2 linked regions of the Arabidopsis thaliana genome follow. The protein of the gene in region 1 interacts with the protein of each later gene in a pairwise test. Each region holds a gene or a part of one and is shown in the gene's direction. Other genes may lie near its edges. The genes, in order: AT5G64550 and STY17.

What was found.
Region 2: the proteins of AT5G64550 (region 1) and STY17 interact in a two-hybrid assay, tested with the Arabidopsis thaliana proteins (one large-scale study listed by BioGRID).

Annotation. Positions count from the first base shown.
Region 1 is NC_003076.8:25,799,690-25,813,040, reverse strand, and holds AT5G64550 (loricrin-like protein), read left to right. Parts: upstream 1-8,060; 5' UTR 8,061-8,235; intron 8,236-9,155; 5' UTR 9,156-9,342; coding exon 9,343-11,247; 3' UTR 11,248-11,513; downstream 11,514-13,351. Other genes in the region: XYL4 (beta-D-xylosidase 4), read left to right, coding at 1-181, 564-851, 1,048-1,217, 1,300-2,156, 2,225-2,814; MGT9 (magnesium transporter 9), read left to right, coding at 3,646-3,891, 3,989-4,018, 4,382-4,538, 4,665-4,786, 4,857-4,931, 5,022-5,249, 5,344-5,388, 5,472-5,516 and 3 more; AT5G64540 (mucin-like protein), read left to right, coding at 12,390-12,809, 13,160-13,234, 13,326-13,351.
Region 2 is NC_003075.7:16,947,864-16,960,109, reverse strand, and holds the start of STY17 (ACT-like protein tyrosine kinase family protein), read left to right. Parts: upstream 1-9,489; 5' UTR 9,490-9,704; coding exon 9,705-9,910; intron 9,911-9,983; coding exon 9,984-10,098; intron 10,099-10,173; coding exon 10,174-10,379; intron 10,380-10,540; coding exon 10,541-10,595; intron 10,596-10,820; coding exon 10,821-10,931; intron 10,932-11,152; coding exon 11,153-11,203; intron 11,204-11,429; coding exon 11,430-11,602; intron 11,603-11,682; coding exon 11,683-11,790; intron 11,791-11,982; coding exon 11,983-12,056; intron 12,057-12,246. Other genes in the region: PLDDELTA (phospholipase D delta), read left to right, coding at 235-1,176, 1,337-1,486, 1,764-1,958, 2,049-2,354, 2,444-2,512, 2,654-2,801, 3,010-3,158, 3,274-3,423 and 2 more; AT4G35785 (RNA-binding (RRM/RBD/RNP motifs) family protein), read left to right, coding at 4,983-4,985, 5,060-5,082, 5,405-5,545, 5,658-5,681, 5,774-5,873, 5,991-6,140, 6,518-6,587, 6,691-6,899; RTFL6 (ROTUNDIFOLIA like 6), read right to left, coding at 7,310-7,498. UniProt on the Arabidopsis thaliana protein: Serine/threonine protein kinase that specifically phosphorylates chloroplast precursor proteins in the cytosol within the cleavable presequences (transit peptides). May be part of a cytosolic regulatory network involved in chloroplast protein import.

The DNA of each region.
Region 1 (13,351 bases):
TAACGGCGTGACTCGTCTTGGGATTCCAACGTATGAATGGTGGTCTGAAGCACTTCACGGCGTTTCTTACATCGGACCCGGCACGCATTTTTCTAGCCAAGTTCCCGGAGCTACGAGTTTCCCGCAGGTTATACTCACCGCCGCTTCTTTCAACGTATCTCTGTTTCAAGCCATTGGCAAGGTAATTAATTTTTTATCCACTTTTGATTTTTGTTTTCAAAATTTTATTTTCGTCCTTTGCTTTTATTCTCTTTTTGGATAATGGGAATATCTTACTTATTATGAAACTGGGCCTCTCCTTTTTTTTTGATCTTTCGTTTGGTACAAGTAAACACTTTACAACACGTTATACTACGTCGTTTTCGTACCTGTAACCAATAATGAATTTCTCCCCACACCTGTTTTCAGTGCCATGATTAATATGATTATGATTCATGGTTAAGTTTCAGCTCATTTCTTCTAAGAAATATAATAAACCGAATATGGTTTTGTCAATACAATTTCAAACCGGATTGGATACACATGGCTTTTTTGAATGACATTGGTATCACTTATTTGTTAAGGTCGTCTCAACGGAAGCGAGGGCAATGTACAACGTGGGATTAGCCGGACTAACGTATTGGTCACCGAACGTGAACATATTCCGAGATCCAAGATGGGGAAGAGGGCAAGAGACTCCAGGAGAAGATCCATTGCTCGCTAGTAAGTATGCTTCAGGGTACGTTAAGGGTCTTCAAGAGACTGACGGTGGCGATTCTAACCGTCTCAAAGTCGCCGCCTGCTGCAAACACTATACCGCTTACGATGTCGATAATTGGAAAGGCGTAGAACGTTACAGTTTCAACGCCGTGGTAAAAATCTAAAAGCTAAAAAGACATTTTCCAGTGTTTTAACTGTTTTTGTCAATTGTGTATGTGATGTTGTGGTTTATTTGGTTAATCCGGTTCAATGGTACTAAGTTCGGGTTGGGTACAACATTTGGTTAGACCAAATACATTTTTGAGTGTTTTAAGTAACTTTTTTTGTGCGTTTGTTTTGATGGAGTAGGTGACTCAACAAGATATGGATGATACGTATCAACCACCGTTCAAGAGTTGTGTGGTTGATGGGAATGTGGCGAGTGTTATGTGTTCTTACAATCAAGTTAACGGCAAACCGACATGCGCTGATCCAGATCTGCTCTCTGGTGTTATCCGCGGTGAATGGAAATTAAATGGGTAATGATCTGATCTGATCCGATCAGCTAAGTTTAAATCCTTTTCGTGTGTTTTGGTTTTGATTTTGGTTCTATTTTTATAGGTACATTGTTTCAGATTGTGATTCAGTAGATGTCTTGTATAAGAACCAACACTATACAAAGACTCCAGCTGAAGCTGCAGCCATATCTATATTGGCAGGTTTGGATTTAAACTGTGGTTCATTCTTGGGTCAACATACAGAGGAAGCAGTTAAGTCGGGTTTGGTAAACGAGGCAGCTATCGATAAAGCGATTTCGAACAACTTTTTGACCCTTATGCGTTTAGGATTCTTTGATGGAAACCCAAAGAACCAAATCTATGGCGGGTTAGGTCCTACCGACGTTTGCACGTCTGCGAATCAAGAGCTAGCAGCAGATGCAGCAAGACAAGGCATTGTTCTACTCAAGAATACTGGATGCTTACCGCTTTCTCCTAAATCGATCAAAACACTAGCCGTGATTGGACCAAACGCGAATGTCACCAAAACAATGATTGGAAACTACGAAGGCACGCCGTGTAAATACACAACACCACTACAAGGACTAGCCGGGACGGTATCTACAACATATCTACCAGGCTGCTCCAATGTAGCTTGTGCTGTAGCGGATGTAGCCGGCGCCACGAAACTAGCAGCCACTGCAGATGTGTCTGTGCTTGTGATCGGTGCCGATCAATCAATCGAGGCAGAGAGCCGAGACAGAGTCGACCTGCATCTTCCTGGACAGCAACAAGAGCTGGTGATCCAAGTGGCTAAAGCAGCAAAAGGACCGGTCTTGCTCGTCATTATGTCCGGTGGAGGTTTCGATATTACATTCGCTAAGAATGACCCAAAGATCGCCGGAATTTTGTGGGTTGGTTATCCCGGAGAAGCCGGTGGTATCGCCATTGCTGATATCATCTTTGGCCGTTATAATCCAAGTAAGAGACTCTGTTTCAAACCGGTTTTTGTAATTGCAAATTTGAATAAACCGGTTTTGGTTATGTAGGTGGGAAATTACCGATGACGTGGTATCCACAGTCGTATGTAGAGAAAGTTCCGATGACAATAATGAACATGAGACCCGATAAAGCAAGCGGGTATCCGGGTCGGACTTACCGATTCTACACCGGAGAAACAGTATACGCATTCGGAGATGGACTCAGCTACACCAAATTCAGTCACACTTTAGTCAAAGCTCCAAGTCTCGTTTCTCTCGGTCTCGAAGAGAATCACGTTTGCCGATCATCGGAATGTCAATCGCTAGACGCGATCGGACCGCACTGCGAAAACGCTGTCTCCGGCGGTGGATCGGCGTTTGAAGTTCATATCAAGGTACGAAACGGAGGAGATAGAGAAGGGATTCACACGGTGTTTCTATTCACGACGCCGCCGGCGATTCACGGATCGCCGAGGAAGCATTTGGTAGGATTCGAGAAGATTCGATTGGGGAAGAGGGAAGAAGCGGTGGTTAGGTTTAAGGTAGAGATATGTAAAGATCTGAGTGTGGTTGATGAGATTGGGAAGAGGAAGATTGGTTTGGGAAAGCATCTTCTTCATGTCGGAGATTTAAAACATTCCTTAAGCATTAGAATCTGATTCTATATTTTTATTTGAGGAAGAAAAAAAGAATATTAATATGCTTAAGCTTTTGCAAGTTGGAAAAGAAAAGTAATAAAAAAAAGAAATTGTGAATCTCTTTAAAATTATAGCATTAGTAGCCGAAAATGTGGGGCATATATAAACATAATTCGAATATCTAAAATATATCATGTGTAATTCATGTGTAACATAAATCTAGCTAATATCAGTTAGAGTTAGATTTATGTTTGGTATTTCAATTTAAGTAAATTTAGTCTTTTTTTTTTTAATTAGTTGCTCAAACTAATAATTCTGATAACAAGCAGATAAACTCGTAGTATATCCCGATCAAAAATAAATTAATTTTTATTTTCTTAATCTAAACTAAACCGGGTTTTGTGTCGAATTTAGGTGATTCGACTCAAATATGAACAACATTTACCAGAAATCAGGGTTATTATTACCGGTTTATTGCGGTTTACATTTTAAATATAAATAAGATTCACCTCTAACAGAATATATCACGTTTTCCTTTTTTTCTGAAACTGTAAAACTCTCTCACAAAGCAAAAAAACCAAACCTAAACAAAAATCTAGAAAGAAAGATTTCCGAAAATCTTTTTAATGAAAAAAGAGCAGACAGGACGAGAATTCGCTTTTCTGAATCCTTTAGAGTATTGTTTTCTCCGTCGAATTCGCATGAACACTTGAGCTCAACAAGGTCAGATTCTCTTGTTCGCTTTTTTTTTTTTGATGAAGAATTCGACTGTTGTGTTGATGCTGGTGCTCTGAATTTTACAGACGGCGTGGAAGTGGACGGTGAGGTAGTTTTTTTTAGTTTTTGAAAGACATGGCGCAAAACGGGTACTTGGTTCCAGCGGATCCTTCGGCGGTTGTGACGGTGAAGAAGAAAACGCCACAAGCGTCGTGGGCTCTTATTGACGCGACGGGACAGAGTGAGCCACTCGATGTTGATAAGTATGAGATCATGCACCGTGTCCAGATCCACGCTCGCGATCTCCGGATTCTAGACCCCAATTTATCTTACCCTTCCACTATTCTTGGCCGAGAGAGAGCCATTGTTCTCAATTTGGAGGTTTGGTTCTGTTTTTTGGTTCTTCAGGCATTCATTGTTTCTGGGTTTTGTTTTTGTTTCAGAGTGTAATTAGTTTTGTTCCTTCTTCTTTATGCAGCATATCAAGGCTATTATCACTTCCGAAGAGGTTAGTAGTTTACTCTTTGATTCCTTTGCTTACCACACTTAGATTTGTAGGGTTTTTGCAGTAAAAAGTTTCGATTTTTATTTTGTTAGGTAGATTTTTTTCTGAATATGCAGATGTTCATGTTAAAGTTTGATTCTTTCTTGTAGCCAGTTTTTCAAAATGCTGACAATGTGTTAAGGAACTTGAGCAATCACTGAACTAGGCAAAAATTTGGCTAATTTTTCAGTTCTGTTCTTACTATGCTATAGTGTGTTGAAAGTTCATAATATCAGCCAGGCTTTGATCTATTTAGCACTATGGAATGCTTAGAGGAGTATAGCTTTTGAGTTCTCTTCTTGTAGTAATGACTTGGGCTTATTACAGGTTTTGCTTCGGGATCCGTCTGATGAAAATGTTATTCCAGTTGTGGAGGAGCTTCGAAGACGCTTACCTGTTGGAAATGCATCACACAATGGTGGTCAAGGAGACGGGAAAGAGATCGCAGGTGCTCAAAACGACGGTGATACTGGTGACGAAGATGGTATTGTCCCTAGAGACTCTTGGCTCTTTTCCTAAACCATCTAAACTCTGTGAAATTCATCTCCTTTTTGATGACCCTTAATTTGCCTTTTCATATATGTTGAAATGTCTGCTTGTTGCAATATAGAATCCCCATTTGAATTTCGGGCGCTGGAAGTAGCTTTGGAAGCAATCTGTAGCTTCTTAGCTGCAAGGACAGCAGAATTAGAAACAGCTGCTTATCCTGCTTTGGATGAGCTTACCTCAAAGGTAGGTACCTCAATGATTTATTATCACCAGTGATCCAGTTTTCAACTACATTTTTACATTCGTCTTGTAGATTAGTAGCCGTAATTTGGATAGAGTTCGGAAATTGAAGAGTGCCATGACTCGGTTGACAGCTCGGGTTCAAAAGGTGAGCAGGTATCTTTTTCTTATGACTTATGAGTATTTGTAAAGTTTGTAATATGAATAGAGAACTAAGTAGCTTCATCGCCTTTTGCAGGTAAGAGATGAACTCGAACAGTTGCTGGATGATGACGATGATATGGCAGATCTTTACCTTTCAAGGAAACTTTCAAGTGCTTCCTCACCGATTAGTAGTATTGGTGAACCAAATTGGTATACTACTTCCCCAACAATAGGCTCTAAGATTTCAAGAGCAAGTAGAGCGAGTTTAGCCACAGTTCATGGGGATGAGAATGATGTTGAAGAACTTGAAATGTTACTCGAGGTTTGTTGATCCTGCACAAAATCTTTTATCTGATTCTGATCTATCTTCCATTCAAATGCCAAGTCCAAATACACACGTCTTGATATCTTTACAGGCATACTTCATGCAGATCGACAGCACTTTGAACAGATTAACAACAGTTATCCTCTTGCTCCCTTTTCTTTCTGTTCTTTTTTGCAGACTTTTTTTACTTTAAAAACTTAATTTTTGACTCTGATGCAGCTACGTGAGTATATTGATGACACAGAGGACTACATTAACATCCAGGTATCCAAAAACGAAACCTCAAAATTTTTAACATGTTCTTGAAATCTGAATATAAGTCATTATATTAAAAGCTAAAACTCGTCGGTTTTCTATTCACAGCTTGACAATCATCGGAATCAGCTTATTCAGGTACGTGAATGTCGAAAGCCAAAGTTTTTTTAATATGTCATCTTCTTTTGTTGATCATCTTCAAAATCCTGCAGTTGGAGCTAGTGTTAAGTTCTGGAACAGTTTGCTTATCGATGTACTCTCTTGTCGCTGGAATTTTCGGGATGAACATTCCATACACATGGAACGACGGTCATGGATACATGTTCAAATACGTAAGAAACCAGAATTCTATTCGCATGAGGATGAAATAAAGATCTCTCTCAAGATTAACTTATGTTTATCGGGGTTTTTGGTTGTTGCAGGTGGTGGGCTTGACGGGGACACTTTGTGTAGTCGTGTTTGTGATCATAATGTCGTACGCTAGGTACAAAGGACTTGTGGGATCTTGATGGCTGAATTTGGGTTAGATGGAGAGATTGTGAAGGGGCATTGGGCAGATCTTGTTTTCGATTATTATACTTGTGGTCGTTCTGAGTTTTGAACGAGCTTCACAATTATTTTAGTTGTCGCATCATAAAATTTAATCAAACATATTGAAAAAAGCAGAAGCATTGTGACTTGTAATTGCAAAGATAAGCTCTACCATCGATTCCTTACAATTAGAGCATAGAAATCAAATTTAGGATCCTTGATTCCTTATTAGCTAGACAACTTTTCAATAATTATCGGTTGAAGCCCGTTTAGACCCGCGGGCTTAGTGCCTATTTTAATATCGCTAGTTGATGTTATAACGTTTCTATTTGAAGTCTCTTCATGATTTAGGTTTCCATTGTCACACACAAAAATGGTGTGTTTTGGATTCTCTTGTAAGTCTTATCAAAAGAGAAGTTTTTGAGATTACATTGGCAGAGAAGATTGGGCTAGAGTTGGGCCTGTTGATGTTTATTTTGAACAAAGTCAATTTAAAATCCATCCAATAAGGAGCTTTAGAAGAAAATATTTTATAAAATAAAAATGTATGCATGCGAACGAAGAAACAAACTCTGTCCTAAACCCTATGCTGATGAAGTCAAAACCTAAAAACATGATGTAAAATATTGCAACAAGGCTTTCGTGTTTCCACATACACATTTGTTACCAGATATGTTATTAAATGATTAAGAAGGTATAAAATATCGTCGACGTCAGCCGTTTCGCGTGGAGAGTTGAGGCCGAAGCTGACGGAATCGCCGACTAGTAAAGATTCCTTTTATTTTATGCCTTTTTTGTACTTTTTCTTTGATATATAATTCATTTTTATTTAAAATATTATGATAGATTCTTCCACTCTGCAAGGAACCTCATTGGCTGACGTAATAGGATTTGCCTCTTGGAACATCATAAAAATCACAATTTCATTCATTTAAAAGAAAATAGTCGTTCGTCTTTATTGTGGTCCTTTGGCGACAATTTTCATCACACCACGACAAAACAATTGGTATCAAATTATATAAATAAATTGTTCTTACTTCTTCTTCTCCCAGCGCACATCTAACATTTTGTTCCTCTCATTAATCACTTCAATTATTTTCCAACGAAGAAATATTTCATTTACGTACATCAATGATATTATTTGCATTGTTTCATATTTTTGTTTTGTTTTGTGATTGTTTCCTACTATACATATAACATATACAAATTACAATTGATGTTTGAATATGTATGTTGCTTGAGTAGAGGAAATTTGAACGTTTTCGCTTATAGTCTTATAGATCTAGATGTAAGTACAAACATAAAATAAAGAAACAGAATCACAAGTCTTTTATTTCGTTGAAGCTTGATACCACAAGTGCTTCGCATTTGGATAGTGGAATCTGATTAAATTTTTTTAAACAATACTAGGTTTAATGATGCCAGCTAATTCTATATATTTTTTACTCCATATTCCTGGCATGAGAAAAAAATAATCGTTTTTCTGTCTCGTTTATTAACAAAAGCGTCACATAAAATGACAAAAACAAACATATACATACATCAATTAAGTTCGAAAGACTCATTCAGCTGATATCATCATTACAAACATTCACAATATCCCAAAAAACAATATAAATAAATAAAAACCAAGTGTTCATAAAATTACGATGACGTCATAAGAAATTAGGGAAGGAATCAGTTCTGACCGGTTAAGACGGTAATCGGTTTAATACTTTTATTAATTCAGAGAAGTGACTTGTCGCAACATCACTACCACTCGAAAGAAAACAGAAAACAAGGGGCATAAAAGACTTTGTCTCCACTAAAGACGGCGTCGTTTTCATCGAAAAGCAAATTTTAATTGATTACCCAAAATAGAGCGTTGTCTCATCCAATCAGAACCGTTACTATCGACGGAGACAGAGGGTATTTTGGGTAATTCATTGGGATTCCCTCACTCGCGGTTATAAACGAGAAAGAGAGAACCTGAAAAAGCCTAACACACAACACAAACACGCTCATAATAAAAACCATAAAAATATCTCCTCTTCTCTTTTTTCTCTCTTTTTTTGTAGCCCCGCTAATATTTCGACACCTGTTTCAGTCTCTTTTTTTGTTTCATTCTTCTTCTTCTTCGTATTCCTCGATGTTTTAGACGAAGCAGGGACTCTCAGTTTACGAGTTACGGAATCTCTCTCTGTCTCAGATCCATCAGGTTTTTTCTTATTCCTTCTTTAGTACTGTTTTTTTGTATCTTGTTATTACTGATTGATCGTGTTATATTAATGAATGCATGGTTTGTTTTTGTTTCGTTTTCTGAAATTTGTTCAGCTTATTTCTCTAATTGTCTCTTGCTCTTTTTAGGGTTTATCTTTTTTTTTTTTTTAAAACCTTCATGATGTTAACTTTTTAGAGTACGCATGATGATTTCTCTAATGATTGTTTGATTAACTCTGATTATAACTTTGATTAATTTTTTTGTTGTGAATTTAGATCTTCTTCCTCAAAGTTAGAAACTTGTGAGATATAGAGATTCAGAATCTTTGTTGATTCCATTTTTGTTTAATAGTAACAATTAGTATTTCCTTAGATCTTGTTTATTGAGTTTGGATCTTTATTTTACAACCTAAAATCGTGAGACATTGCTTCTTGTTATCACTTATCACTTATCAAACACAAAGTTGACTTTCCATGTTATATAAGAAGTTTTCAAAGTCTTAACATTATTCTGATTTTGCTTGAATTATTTTGAGTAACAAAAATTATTTAGTTTTTTTTTTTTTAATACTGTGTACTAATCTGTAAACCAATCTTATCTTATCCTTTCTTTCATTCTGTTGTTTTGGGAAATTTCTAATTTTTCGAGCATAGAAAGATGTGTCCTTCACGTTTCACTTTTACCTAAGGCTAAAATGTTGCCACCATTAGTCATTTTGGTTGGTACTTGGTCCTTTTCAGACACAGTTGTAGCCAATTATTGGTCTCTGTACTTTGAATCTCTTAACATCACAAGCCGCAACTTGTAATTACACTATTGACTCAAATGCTTTTCTTGATTATTAGTCTCGTGTCATTGTAATGTTATTGATCTTCTTGCTTAAGCTTTCTACTAACAAGATTTTGTAACTGCTGCAGAATAGTTTCTTGCGCAAACCCATTCTTGAAGATGGACAGGGCAGATACATGGGGATTTGTCAGCGGTGGGAGATGTTTATATCTCAAGTTGCTTTTATGTTTATAGCTCTACAAGGTGGTGTTCTAAGTATTTATTGTTTTGGTCATTCTATCTCCTCCGCTGCATTGTTCTGTCTCTTCTCTTCATATGGATTTGAACGAGAGTGTTGTTCACTTTTCTCGTGGCAATGGTATTGCAAAGCTTGACAATTTCGGCGATACTGCTCTTAGCTTGAAATGTCTTGGAAGCAGTGCAGGGAGATTGATTGGGAGCTCTCACCATAACCATAAGCTTTGTTCTGATGTTTCTAATTGTCCTGATGGTGGTTGCCGGTTGGTTCTCGGTTTGGGTCCAACACCGCCTTCGTATTATTACAATGTCAGGGTCAATGATAATAACAACAAAGGCTCTGCTTCTTCTGGGAGTGTTCAGGAACTCTCATCAGGAGGTAACTCAATCCTGCAACTTGGTCCTCCTGCTGTGACCATGGATACTTTCAGCGGACTTGAGGGTTCTCTGTTGACATATGCGGATACTAATGTGTCCCAAGCTGCTGTTGATGAGGGTTCTACCTCAGCAAGGCGATCAGGTGGCTATATGCCATCGCTTCTTTTCGCTCCAAGGACGGAGAATGTTAGAAAACCTTCAAGGATGCAAGAGTGTAGTACTAATTGTGGAACTGATGCTTATAATTCACAGCTGAGCCATGAGTCAGAGTTCTCTGTAAGCGCTTTCTCTGACAGGTCGGCCTCTGCCACGTCTTCTCAGCAAAGGATGAGCAACCCGAAGAAGTGCAAGTTTATGGGATGTGTTAAAGGAGCTAGAGGAGCTTCGGGGCTCTGCATTGGCCATGGAGGTGGCCAGAGATGCCAAAAGCTAGGTTGCAACAAAGGTGCTGAGAGCAAAACTACTTTCTGCAAAGCCCATGGCGGAGGAAAGAGATGCCAACACTTGGGATGCACAAAGAGTGCTGAAGGCAAAACCGATCTCTGCATATCACATGGTGGTGGAAGACGGTGTGGATTCCCTGAGGGATGTGCTAAGGCTGCACGTGGCAAATCTGGGCTCTGCATCAAGCACGGTGGTGGTAAAAGGTGTAGGATTGAAAGCTGTACACGAAGTGCTGAGGGACAAGCTGGACTCTGTATTTCCCACGGTGGTGGACGGCGTTGTCAGTCTTCAGGCTGTACAAAAGGTGCTCAAGGAAGTACAAACTACTGCAAAGCTCATGGTGGTGGGAAACGCTGCATATTTGCGGGATGTACAAAAGGAGCGGAAGGTAGTACTCCGCTTTGTAAAGCACATGGTGGAGGAAAACGCTGTATGTTTGATGGTGGTGGTATTTGTCCTAAGAGTGTGCATGGTGGGACGAGTTTCTGTGTAGCTCACGGTGGTGGGAAGAGATGTGTTGTGGCCGGGTGCACTAAGAGCGCTCGTGGGAGGACTGATTGTTGCGTGAAGCACGGTGGTGGGAAACGGTGTAAGTCTGATGGTTGTGAGAAGAGTGCGCAAGGTAGCACTGATTTCTGTAAGGCACATGGTGGTGGGAAACGTTGCTCATGGGGAGGAGACTGGAAATGCGAGAAATTCGCTAGAGGAAAGAGCGGTTTATGCGCTGCGCATAACAGTATGTCACAAGATAAAGCTGGAAGCAAGGTTGGTTTGATTGGACCGGGACTTTTCCGTGGCCTTGTCTCTACTTCTTTACAAACCACAACAACTGCAACTACTACTACTACTACCACTGATCATTCTCAATCTGGAGTCAGTGCGGTCTCTGATTGCATGGACTCCATTGATCGCCCGCTGCCACCGTTGCATCATCAACCCGAGAAAAGACAGAAGCTGATGATACCAATGCAGGTTCTTGTGCCTCCATCAATGAAATCCTTAAGCTTCTCAAACACCGAGAGACCCGATATCGAAACAAACAACAATAGTAGTGGCAGCAATGGGAGGAACATATTTGACTTTATGATTCCTGAGGAAAGAGTTCATGGTGGCGGGCTTATGTCTCTGCTTAATGGTAACATGAAACAAACACTCCGTTGATGGAATCTGAAAGCTTCCTCTCTATGTGGTAACAACAAGGCTAGAGTCTGTGTAAAGCTTCATGTAATATGTATAGTTTTTTGGTTTTCTTTTTGTTTCTCTTTCACTCTTGGGTCCTTTGTACATTTCATGGGTCTCTGTTTTTGTATGGTCTCTGGTCTTGACTTGACCATCTAGTCGATGGCTTGAACCCAAGTCTTTGTTTATTTGATCATTGTTATGAATGTTGCAATGTACAAGTAAAATGTGTTCTTATGTTTTGTACCAAAAAAAAACAGAGCTTACTGGGTCGAATCAGCATTTCCGGTTAAATAACTTTTGGTTTAATTCGCCTTGACCGGTTTAATGGAAGGTCAAAGAAACAGCGTCAAAGTCAACATACAGAAACAACCAAACCAAGTCATCAAATGGATAACGGAATCTTTCCGCCGTTATATTTTCCGTTAGCCCTATATATACACCGAGGCGGTTAACAAACATTTCGTCTCTTTGAAACTAATTTTTTCCCTCTTCTCTCTCTCTTTGGCCGTGGAGATTTTTCTGAGCAAGCTTCGTGATGCTATCGAACCAGAGGAAGACGAATTAGCTTCTCGATCACGATTCTTTTAGGTATGTGATTATGATTTAAGTTCCGATTTCGAGCTTTAGGTTTAGCTCTATCGCGATTGAATCTGTGTTTTTTTCCCGTTCCCGATTCCTCTACAACCCTAGGTTTTGATCGGAAATTTCGGTTCTTCTTCTTCGTTTTCTACTTCAATCGTTCTCGCTTTTGATTTCTTCAAGTTCTGATGATGATTATCGGTAAATTTCAACCTTGGATCTTTGGTAGATTTTGCTGTTGTCTCGTGAATATTCATCGCCAGTTTTGGCGGGAAAATGTTTCTGCGGTGGTTTGTTTTTGATTGAATCTGAAACTTACTATTGTCTTGTGCTCTCGATTACATTCTTCAGATCTTATCGGAAAGCTTTAGCGGCAGAGAGAAAGAGTGAATAAGTCGAGACTTCTCTGGTGATTTGTTATTTTCTTTGTGGTTTTTGGTGATTGCAAATCCTCTGGTGATGTTGATTAAAAAAAGTCTCATTTTGAAGTCTGGTGATACAAGGATCCACAAAGGAATCTCAGATTCTCCTACTGTAGCAATATGATGGACAAAGACGAGCCGTTTGTCTACAACGAGGTGGATTACAAGACCCCAAAGCAGAGTCCCCAGACGTGGCCGATGGATAAGATCCGGCAGAGCCGTTTTCAACATAAAATGTCATCACTTTTGAGTCCGGTGACTCCTAAAAGGAATTACAACATTAGCAATGCGAAGACACTCCTGCTGCAGTGTTTACGGGACGCTAAATCAGATCCACTCCCTCCTAGGCGCTTTCCGGTTTCATGCTCAGATGAAGGAATCTTGATGGATGGTGTTCTGGTCACATCAGCCACTAAAAAGAAGGTGTATGAGTCTCCTTCAAGCTATCCAGGACGATCAGCACGTTCTTCAATCTTCCGGAGTCAGCTCAAGAAGACTACAGAGTGTAGCAGCCCTATAAGCGATTCAGGACCTAACCAGGTTCGTCTTTCGCTCTTTATTGTTTACATATTTGTGAGATTAGAATCGGTAAGAACATCACTGACTTACTTAAGAAACATTGCATGTGATATTCCACAATGGTCACAACATAGAGTTGCTAGACGTTAGTGACTTGATGTCTTTCGATGACTGTTTTAGATCAAACGAAGCTGAATCAGATAATGTTGGAAATGTCTATTTTTTGTTGAACATGATTCCAAGTATAGATGATGCTGAACTTCCAATGCATTGATCTATTCAGGAGAAGCAAATATTGTGTATCATTGTCGCAACTACGCTCACATTTATGTATTGAAATGTCTGTTGAGAGTTCTTTGGTGATTTTGCAGGAAACCACTCGCTCTCAGCAATCTTCTTCAGCTGGCAAGGAAAATATGCTGGCAAATAGTCCTTGTACACCAAAGGTTTTTACTTTACAACGCATTGTGTATCAGGATTTCTGAAGAATCATAAGTTTATAACCAGTTCTCATTTGCTTTTATCTGTGTTTATTAGGCTGCTAAACCTTTCAAACTGCAAGC
Region 2 (12,246 bases), on another chromosome or scaffold:
CCTCCACCTGTCCTCTCTTCTCCTTCCTTGCTTGTCTTTCTCTCTCAAATCATTTCACCTAAAAATAATAAATATCTTTCGTTTTCTAAAGAAAAAAAAAAAAAAAACTTTTCAAATTCATCTTTGGTTTCTGCAGCAGCAACAACAACCGAGCCCTGTTCGTTAGGGTTTTCGGTTTTTGTTAGCTTTTCTTCTTCTTCTTCTTCGTTTCCTTCCACCTGAATTGTTGTAACCATGGCGGAGAAAGTATCGGAGGACGTTATGCTTCTACACGGTGACCTCGATTTGAAAATTGTTAAGGCTAGGAGGTTACCTAACATGGATATGTTCTCAGAACATTTGCGCCGTCTCTTCACCGCCTGTAACGCCTGTGCTAGACCCACCGATACCGATGATGTCGATCCCAGAGATAAAGGCGAATTCGGTGATAAAAACATCCGTAGCCACCGTAAGGTTATCACCAGCGATCCTTACGTCACCGTCGTCGTTCCTCAAGCGACTCTAGCTCGAACACGTGTTTTGAAAAACTCACAAGAGCCTCTTTGGGACGAGAAATTCAACATTTCTATAGCGCATCCGTTTGCTTATCTCGAGTTCCAGGTCAAAGACGACGATGTTTTCGGTGCTCAAATCATTGGCACGGCTAAGATCCCGGTTCGAGACATCGCATCGGGAGAACGCATTTCTGGTTGGTTTCCTGTACTCGGTGCTTCGGGAAAACCGCCTAAGGCAGAAACTGCTATTTTCATCGATATGAAATTTACTCCGTTTGACCAGATCCATAGCTACCGATGTGGAATCGCCGGAGATCCGGAGCGTAGGGGTGTTAGACGGACTTATTTCCCTGTGAGGAAAGGAAGTCAGGTGAGGCTTTACCAGGACGCTCATGTTATGGACGGAACGTTGCCGGCGATTGGGTTAGATAACGGGAAAGTTTATGAGCATGGGAAGTGTTGGGAAGATATATGTTATGCTATATCTGAGGCTCACCATATGATTTACATTGTTGGTTGGTCTATCTTCCATAAGATTAAGCTTGTTAGGGAAACAAAAGTTCCAAGAGATAAGGATATGACGCTTGGGGAATTGCTCAAATACAAATCCCAGGAAGGTGTTCGAGTTTTGCTACTTGTATGGGATGATAAGACTTCTCATGATAAGTTTGGGATAAAAACGGTTAGTGTTTTCACAAGTTCTTTGGATTCGTATTGCTATTTTTGAGCTTTTGGATTACTAGTTGTAATGTTAATTGGAGTTTCTGGTGAGGATAATTTATGTTTTGACAGGTTATTTGGTGTTTTTGACATTAAGATGTTGTGTGACATTTATTTTGCAGCCTGGAGTTATGGGGACACATGATGAGGAGACTAGGAAGTTCTTCAAGCATTCTTCTGTGATATGCGTTTTGTCACCCCGGTATGCCAGCAGTAAGCTTGGGTTGTTCAAACAACAGGCAAGTCCTAGCTCTTCTATATATATCATGACAGTTTTTGTTTGGTATGATGTTGATATGTTTTAGCTAAGGGGGTTTAGTCCCGCATGATGAGGGTTATTGCAAAGTTGGAAATTAGTTAATGTGGATGCTTACTTTCAATTATAAGAGATGTTCTGACTCTAATCCATGTCGCACCATTGTTTCTCGATTGTTTAGTTAAAGGCTCTTTCAACATGTGGGTATCAAAATGTTATGTCAATTTCGGCTTTGGCATAGTTATTATCTTTCCAAGGGATATCTTTTTTGATATCTGATGTTTAATGGCCAGGTTGTTGGAACTCTCTTCACGCACCATCAAAAGTGTGTTCTTGTAGACACTCAGGCTGTTGGTAATAATCGCAAGGTCACCGCTTTTATTGGAGGTCTAGATCTTTGTGATGGCCGTTATGACACACCTGAGCATAGGATACTCCACGATCTTGACACTGTATTTAAGGATGATTTCCACAATCCTACATTTCCAGTAAGTTTATTATTATATACCGGCTGTTATCAAGCTTGAATCCTAATTCTTTAGTTATTACTGATACATACTCTGTTTTTACTTCCTCAGGCTGGTACCAAGGCCCCAAGACAACCTTGGCACGATTTGCACTGTAGGATAGATGGGCCTGCGGCATATGATGTTCTCATAAACTTTGAGCAGCGATGGAGAAAGGCAACACGATGGAAGGAGTTTAGCTTACGTTTAAAGGGGAAAACTCACTGGCAAGATGATGCTTTGATCCGGATAGGGCGTATATCATGGATTCTGAGTCCAGTGTTTAAATTTCTGAAGGATGGTACTTCGATAATTCCAGAGGACGATCCATGTGTTTGGGTTTCTAAAGAAGATGATCCAGAGAACTGGCATGTTCAGGTCCTTGTTGATTCCTTCCAAACTATACTTATTTCATGTTAACAAATGTTGTTGATTTGATCTAACCACGCGGTTTCTTTGACTTCTAGATATTCCGTTCTATCGACTCAGGATCCGTGAAAGGATTTCCAAAATATGAAGATGAGGCTGAGGCCCAGGTTGGTCAATCAACTTATTTGCTATTATTAATTATCTTCCTTGAAGAATCACCGTTTATTCAATGAAATTTCTCTTTATAAGCCACCACATGGTATAGAAATTGCACTACTTACAAAGTCTTCAATATAATTTAACTGCAGCATCTGGAATGTGCCAAGCGTCTTGTTGTAGATAAAAGCATCCAGACTGCATACATCCAGACAATCAGATCTGCTCAGCATTTCATATATATCGAGAATCAGTATTTCCTGGGTTCTTCTTATGCTTGGCCTTCTTATAGAGACGCAGGTGCATTTTGATCTTTGAGTACAGTTCTTAGACTAGGAAATAAAATACTCACATTGCAGACAGCATGAAGTCTAGAATTGTTCTCAGTTACTAGTTTTGTATTTGTGGCTCTATTTTCACCTCACAGTTACCTGAACTGTATTAAATAAAGCTTAGTAACTTTTTCACCCGCGGATTTTCTGATTCTGTGTTCGTCTTGTATGAGCAGGAGCTGACAATCTTATTCCTATGGAGTTGGCACTAAAGATTGTTAGCAAAATCAGAGCTAAGGAAAGATTTGCCGTATATGTTGTCATACCATTGTGGCCTGAAGGCGACCCAAAGTCTGGCCCTGTGCAAGAAATTCTATATTGGCAGGTAACTTTGTTTAGCTGAGTGTAAGATAAGTGCCAATACCAAAATAGGTTGTTCCATTTCTTTAAAAGAGAAACTTACATTCTGCTAAACATCTTCTGTTCTTTTCATTTCGTAGAGCCAAACTATGCAGATGATGTATGATGTTATAGCAAAAGAACTGAAAGCGGTGCAATCAGATGCTCATCCTCTCGATTACCTTAACTTTTACTGCCTTGGTAAACGAGAGCAGCTTCCAGATGATATGCCAGCCACCAATGGCAGTGTGGTATAATCTTCAAACTTCTAAGACTAAGAATGTTTCATTCACAAAAACTGTAGCTTACAGATAGATAAATCATACATAAAGTTTCCTGTAGTAATCAGTGGAACAATTTCTTTATGATCATTTTAACTGCATTTTTCAGGTATCAGATTCTTATAATTTCCAGCGTTTCATGATTTACGTGCACGCAAAAGGGATGATAGTAGATGATGAGTATGTACTCATGGGATCTGCTAATATCAACCAAAGATCTATGGCAGGCACCAAAGATACTGAAATCGCCATGGGCGCATACCAACCTAATCATACATGGGCTCACAAGGGAAGACACCCACGTGGCCAGGTTTGCCTTCCTCCTAACATCTTCATCATCATCATCTATATCATAACCAAACCTCAAAAGTGTCTCTATATCTACATGGGGAAAGTTTCAAATTCCTGAATCCTGGATTTAAAAACAGTAAAGAAATTTGGGATAGCATTCGATCTTGCGAAAAAAATCACGTTCTTAGATACTTGAGAGAACTTGTGTTTCTACTCCCAGATTCTTGAACCATTATATATATTGAGTCTTCGTAAGACATAAAGAGCTTGATGATATCTCTATCTATCTACACAGGTGTATGGATACAGAATGTCACTATGGGCAGAGCATTTAGGCAAAACTGGAGATGAGTTTGTGGAGCCATCAGATCTGGAATGTCTGAAGAAGGTGAACACAATCTCTGAAGAAAACTGGAAAAGATTCATAGACCCGAAATTCTCAGAGCTACAAGGTCACTTAATAAAGTATCCTCTACAAGTAGACGTTGATGGTAAAGTAAGCCCTCTTCCTGATTACGAGACCTTCCCAGATGTTGGTGGTAAGATCATTGGAGCTCATTCCATGGCTCTTCCTGACACTTTAACCACGTAATGTGAATGTTCAATGTAAATTTCAGCATTTGTTTTGGGGTTTCTTTTGATCCTGAATAATATTAGCTGAAAGTGTTGTTTGAGTTGTTGTACATTTAACTGTGTTGTTTCTTTTTTATACATTCTTTTGTGATTGTCGTCAAATATTTGTTGGGGTGCAAAATGTAGAGATCGTGAGTGAGTGAAGAGGCAAAATAATTTGAGGATATTCTATTTTTCTCGGTTTTCTTTTTCAAAATCGGATAATGATGCTGTGTAACTGCGTTCAAAACAAAATTTCTGCTTCGACTTTTAATGTTAAGATTAGATGTGCCTATCGGTTCTGTTTACCCGAACCAAACCGAAGATTCATGGACACTTAGACAGATCAAAATATTTAATTAGCGGTATTAAACCGAACCAGACCGCAGACCGGAAATATCAATCCGGGACTGATTACGATTATTGTTATTTTCTTTTGTTGTTGCAGACACCATAAGAAACGTGAGTCTTGCTACATGCAATTATTGACTCTTGTAATAGTATAAAATTTTATTGAATAATTCATCTGTAGACAAGGGGGAAAAGAAAGACTGATTTTACGCTTTATTGCTCTCACTAAAACCCTAATTCTCTCCGTCTCGATCGCGACCTCTGTTTCTTCGGCAATGGTAAGCTTCCACGACTAAGTCTCTGTGTTCTTCTTGATCTTCGAGAAATTTGAGGTAATTACTTCGTTTTGCAGGCGGATTCTCCTCAAAGAAGAAGGTTAGATTCAAGTTTCTATTGCTTCGCATTTCGGAGCTGTTATTGTTCCTAAATCGTTCTCTTTTGTTTTTTTACATGTTTCAACAATTTTGAATTGCATTACATTTGCGTAGGGTTGTGAATCTGACGAATTGATTTTGGGAATTTTGACTTTTTAAGATCTAGTATTGGAGTCTTTTTCTATGTAGTTGTAGTTCTTCTTAATTATGTTTTGTTGCAAATGCTATTTGATTGGGTATTTGTAGCTCAGAGGACTGATAAAGAGCTAAATGTTTCTAAGTAACAAGTCTCAGTGTAATCTTTTACTTGATTTCTGCATCAGGGATTCACGATCTCCTTCACCCCGAAAAGAACGAGCTAGATCCAGATCCAGGTCTAGGTCCAGGTCTAGATCCAGGCCCAGGCTTAGGTCCAGGTCAAGATCTTTGCCAAGGCCTGTTTCTCCATCACGAAGCCGTGGAAGGTTAGTTATTGCGCAGTATAGGGTTTTCTTATGTAGATTTTGGGTATGTCACTGAAAATTTCTGAAGAATATTGCGTGGTAATCTTTTTTTCATTACCTGTACACTTTGTAGGTCAAGGTCAAGAAGCCGTGGAAGGTTAGTTCCAGCTTTCTCCATATGAGTTTGCATTCTCTTGTTATCTGTAATTCGTTTGATATTTTTGCGATATTTTGAATTTTGGTTGACAGAAGTGAAGTTGAAAACCCTGGTACCACTCTCTATGTGACTGGCCTATCTACAAGAGTCACTGACAAGGATCTTGAAGCACATTTCGCCAAGGAAGGAAAGGTGATAACATCTATACCTGATTCTCATTTCTCATACTACCAGTTTAAGTCTATTTTGTGTCTGCATTTTTGGGCATATAATCTTTGATCATATAGTTTACCATTTTCATTTCCATAGGTTGCGTCTTGTTTTCTTGTGATGGAGCCGCGCACCCGTGTGTCTCGTGGTTTTGCCTTTGTTACAATGAGCAGCCTTAAAGATGCTGAGCGGTGCATTAAATATCTCAACCAGTCTGTACTAGAAGGCCGATACATAACTGTGGAAAGGGTAAAATTTCATGCTCTACTGATTTTGGTGGTAGTTTGAGATCATTATTTGTTGACTTGGAGGTTTTCTGATCATTCAGAAAATATTGCATCAAGCAACAATCAGAGATGATAAGAGTACTCATCCTTGCTCAACATCATTAAGTGAAACACAGCTTGATCAATCGAATCGCCAGCTTAAACATAATCATAAGCAACTATATTGCCTCAACTCTCAACTCTCAACTAGTCAAAGGACATTATCAAGTATCAACAACTATTAGTCAAGTGTTTCTCCAGCCTAGGATGCATCTTGTTTCCTTGAATATACCTATGGCTTTTCTAGATTGAAAGTTGTGTTCCATTACATGAGCTTTATGTACTTTGTGCTTTCTTCAGTCCAGGAGAAAGCGCCCGAGAACTCCCACCCCAGGCCACTATCTTGGCTTGAAAAGCTCCAGAGACAGCGGTAATTGAACATTTCAAACCTCGTAGTTATTATTGAGTCTCTCTCTAGACAGATGAAAGGTTGCTAACTGTTCCGTAATCTTTTTGTTGTTTTGATAAAAAAGATCGAGAAGGCCGTAGCAGTCGAGGGAGGCACTATGATCGTGATGATTACAGAGACCGTAGGTCACCAAGACGCGACTATTCACCTCGTGATGAAAGAAGGTCTAGAAGAGATCGGTCTTACTCTCCTCATGGAAGAAGCCCAGAGAGAAGATCAGAGAGAAGGTCTGAGAGGTCAGAGAGAAGGTATGAACCCCGTGGCTCGAGATGACCTGTTTTCATCCTTTTGACAAAGGATTCAAAAACTTCTCTGTTGATTTAGGTTGTGTAATTGATCATCCTTAAAATAGCACAAAGATTCTGTCAGGCAACGCTTTGGGTTTCATTTATTTTCTGTTGTTAACGTGTTATTCTGTCGGAACTCTCTGAAGTGAAAACTAAAAACTGTAATAGCTTCTCTGTTATGTCTCTACTCTACTTGTTTTTGAATGAATCAGAATATCTTATGTGATTAGAATCTTTAGATTGTTCGCAATTTTTTGTTAAACAAAAAGGTGGAGATACCAAATTAAAGCTTGAAAGTTGAAACTTAACTAAAAACAAAACCCCAAGTTGTGACCAGAGACAAAAATAATCAATCGTATATACTTGTTTAATTATCGAATACTAACACAAACCTCATCAAGAATTGGCGTATTTGTGCCAACAAAGCAACATAAGAATACATCTTCTAGCTATATAAAACCTAGAACGTCTCTCCTTCACCATGGCTAAACATCCTTTATTCCTCCTCTCCATTGATTCTCTGCAACATTCTTCTTCCCTTTTCCTCTTTCTCCTCATCTTTGTCGCCGATGAGCATTGCCCCATAATTGTTCTCTTCTCTTTGATTACTTCGTTTCTTCACACTTTTACGTTATTGCTCTTTTTGTGCTCTACGGAGAGATGATTTTTCGTTATAAAAGACAAATGGAAGAAGAAGAAGAAGAAGCAATATTAAAGGGACCAAATGTGAAAAGAGTGGAGAGGAAAAATAAAATGAAAAAAGACTATAAATAGAGGAGTGGTGGAGCAATGATGATGCGATGACGTTCAACATCATTAAGTTCTTTCATTTATTTACGTATTCGTAAAGAAAATATATTATTTCATTTTGCATATGTACTTACGCGATTAAACAATTCCACATTACTACGCTTTATCATTGTTACTTAAATCGTTTATTAGTGGAATAATTGTCTTTGTGTCTAATACCATAAAAGATAGTACTAAAGTCTTCATATGACTAGATCATCCCTTCCGTTTTTTAACGTTAATTCGTATGTTACATTTCAAATCATTTATTGTGGCTTATTAAAGATATACTATAATGTAAGGATCGGAGAACTAATGGTGATCATGTAATGAAAGACAAAACATTGTCACATATATTGTAATTATTTTTGGTTTTCGTTATTAATTAATTGTTAGTATCTTCCGGATTTTGATTCATAAACCAACCAAAAACGCGTCTCAGGTGGTTTTAGCGTACCCGACGTTGCAACTGGCTTATCTTTTTCCTACACGTGTCTTCCTCTGGTTGGTATTATATCATACGTGTAAAATGGACTTTTACCTTAATTAACCGCATCTTATGGTCATCAATTCATTTCTTAAGCTACTTTTTTAATTTATTTGTATGACTTTTCTTATCGTTACTTATTTGATTAAACCTTTCTTACGCCATTTTTTTTTCTCGACAAGTATGTTGCATGAATTCATATTGGAGAAAAATTAAAGATCAAATAGGATTGAAATTGTTTGGTAAACCGCATCCAAAACCGCACCGCAACAGTGCTGTAACAGTATCAAAATCTCTACATATACATATGTATCTATGTATTTTCGTTACTATTTGAACCGCACTGCACTTTTTCCGCACCGCAAAATGCAGTCACCATTCGGACCCTAAGTTTAGTTATAAGAAGGGCTTCTTCGTAAACGCAAAAGCAACGTACGTCAGCATGAACTGGTGGAAGAGAATAAAGTATCTGGAAGAAGAGAAGGCAGTAGTGACCAATCATTGGTACTTGATTGGTTTACGCCACGTCATCACACTTTCCTTTCACAGCTGTATAATATTCCCCTCTTCTTGTTTTTTCTTGACAAAAAGAATAAAAATCATTTTTTTCATTTTCTTATTTTTATTTCGGCTGATCATTTTTCCAGTTTCTGGATACATTTTATGATTTTAATTACCGAACCAGATATGGGATATGGTTATAAGCGTCGTCATATGGATATTGTTGTCGCCATTTTCATTTTGTCTTTAACTTTGCGAACGTTGCCCACTTGCCACTTTATTTACTTGTGTTAAAGTGTGTAAAATACCAACACCAAGCAAATATGGGCCACAAGGCCCGACAAAAATGATCTGTTGCGTTAGGATTGAAATTTGAAAGGCCTATTATCATTTAGGCTCACTCGTACCTCGTACGTATTGCTATTGCCTATTGGTTGTAACAAGATCAACTTTTATGTAATTACCAATATTAAACTTATAGTGTTATACAACAAATAGTGAAATAAAAACAAACATGTCCATTAATATGTCATCATATTTGTATCATAAGTAGCAAAACATAAAAAAAAATATATATAAAAAAGTCATCACCATCCACCATCATCTCCTTTTCTTTTTGCTTCATAAACATGAAAACCACCATACATTTATCTCGAAGCCAAAAAAGCAAAACTGTCCATTATCCATTTAAAGCATTACAATAACTAAAAAAATAAGAGTATTCTCGTGACCCACACTCATATGGACCCTACATAATGACGTGGATGAGTCCTACGTGTTACACAACGAAACGTTCATGTCCTCCCTGGCTTTCAACCCAAACTCATACATTACACCCTCTCTCTCTCTTCTCTTCAATTTCCGTCTTCTCACTCTCTAATCTTTTCGCCTTTAGTTGAATCTCTGGGATCATTCTACCTTTTTGTGGATTTAGGATCGAAGAAGAGATCACTCCTACTGTTGAATTCTGGTTTTACTTGAGAGAGTTTTTCAATTCTGATCTGCTGTTTTGCGATGGCGATCAAAGAGGAGACGGAGGAGAGTTGCGGAAGCAGAGCCGTGGTAGCTTCAATAACGAAAGAAAGCCCTAGACAGCACCGTATGAAACTGGAGGTGTACGGTGAGGTTCTTCAACGAATCCAGGAATCCAATTACGAAGAAGCTAATTTCCCTGGTTTTGATGATCTCCTCTGGCTTCACTTCAATCGTCTTCCTGCTCGGTAATCTTTTTGGATCCTATGATAATAAATGTTTTCAAATTTGACTTCCTGCTGAAATGGATTTTGTGTATAGATATGCTTTGGATGTAAATGTTGAGAGAGCAGAAGATGTACTTACTCATCAGAGATTGTTGAAATTGGCTGAAGATCCTGCTACTAGACCTGTTTTCGAAGTTCGTTGTGTGCAGGTGTGATCATTTAACCATCTTCACCACTTTTTAATCTTGCTTGCTTGCTTCTTCATACTTCCACTTTTCTTACAGGTTTCTCCCACATTGAATGGAAATTCTGGTGACGTTGATCCTTCGGATCCTGCGGTCAATGAAGATGCTCAAAGCTCCTATAACTCGAGGTCTCTTGCACCTCCAACTTTTGGTTCTTCTCCGAATTTCGAAGCTCTTACTCAAGCTTACAAAGATCATGCTCAAGACGATGATAGTGCTGTCAATGCACAGTTGCCTAATTCTCGGTGAGATATATACTTTTGACACTTAACTTACTTGAGTCTTCTTGTCTGCATATACTTGAAGAGGCGTTCTTTGTAGCATGGTATCGTCTGTTTTGCAGGATTATTTGATTTAATTTTACAACCATGTGTGGTGATATTATCCTTTGTTGTCTATCTTATAGACCGATGCACGAAATCACCTTTTCTACAATCGACAGGCCGAAACTCCTTAGTCAGGTTGGTGATGTTGCTTCTTCCATTTCTTTTTATGTCAGCTCTGATATTGGAAACATGTGACTTTGTGTTCTTTTACAATTGCTTTTTCTCTTCGTTTGAGTAGAGTGATGTATAGGATTCCCTCTCTACTTTTAAGGATCCATTAGATACAGTCATGTAGAGAATGGGTGGTTATGTTTCTATTAAGCCATTATCTGACTGAGAATCGGTTTGTTTTCTTTCCAGCTAACTTCCATGCTTGGTGAACTTGGATTGAATATTCAAGAGGCTCATGCTTTCTCTACCGCCGATGGTTTCTCTCTCGATGTATTTGTTGTTGATGGCTGGTCGCAGGAGGTATAGTTTCAGTTTTCTGTATGGTTCACAACATCTTTCAGAACCATCATGTTACTTGTGACTGATGGATTAAGTAAACGACTTTGAAAGATTTTGACCATTGAGTAAATGACTTGTGACTTATGTAATAAGTAAATGACTTCGAAAGATATTGACCATTGATGACCTTTCTGCCCCTGCCATCTAAACTGGTTGCAACTTTATACACTTTTGAAATACAGGAAACAGAAGGTTTAAAAGATGCATTGAAGAAGGAGATAAGAAAGTTTAAGGTATCTTTTGTTAGTCTATTGTCATGAGCATTCCTTATCTTCATGAGATTCCTTATATTAGACTCCATGCCACATTCATAATTTAAATTCCGAAAGTGCAAGTAATGGTTTAGAATTAGCTCACTCCGAAACTGAATGCACCACTGTACTGATGTTTTTTTTGCTATGTTTTGAATCAATTTTGATAGTCGTCATGTCTCCATATTCCACACTGGCTGCTCTGCAGGATCAACCTTGTTCAAAACAGAAATCTATCACTTTCTTTGAGCATGACAAATCAACCAACGAGCTGCTACCTGCGTGTGTTGAAATACCTACGGATGGAACTGATGAGTGGGAAATTGACATGAAGCAGCTCAAAATTGAAAAAAAGGTGGCATGTGGATCATACGGGGAACTGTGAGTTTTCATATTCAAAAATCTTGTTTTTAATACTATATGAGGAAATTAACAGCTATATATTCTTAATGGCTATGCAGATTTAGAGGAACCTATTGTAGTCAGGAAGTAGCTATCAAAATTCTCAAGCCTGAGCGTGTTAATGCGGAAATGCTACGAGAGTTTTCTCAGGAAGTATATATAATGAGGTGTGCTGCAATTTGATTCTAATTGCAACTCGTACTCTTATAGTATATGTATTCTAATAAATCTCCAAAAATTCCATTTCATGGTGTATACGTAGAAACATGCATGAGTTTCCCTCATTTTCTAACAACCAGTGTCCATTGAACAAAGTTAATATTCAGAAACATCCACTACTGATACTTCCCTATTTGTAGGAAAGTTCGGCATAAAAATGTTGTCCAGTTCATTGGTGCATGTACACGATCACCAAACCTCTGCATTGTGACAGGTAAGTTGTCAGTAGATTATGAATAGGAGACTGGTTCCATCTAGATCGTTTTTTTTGTTGGTTTTGTATCTTCAAGCGTGGTGAGAAAGTTGTTTCAGCAGGACATTGAGGTTCTATAGAGTATTGTTTAGTAAATACCGTAACATTTCATTTCCTAGTTTTGGCCTTTACATGTATTCATGGTCGGATG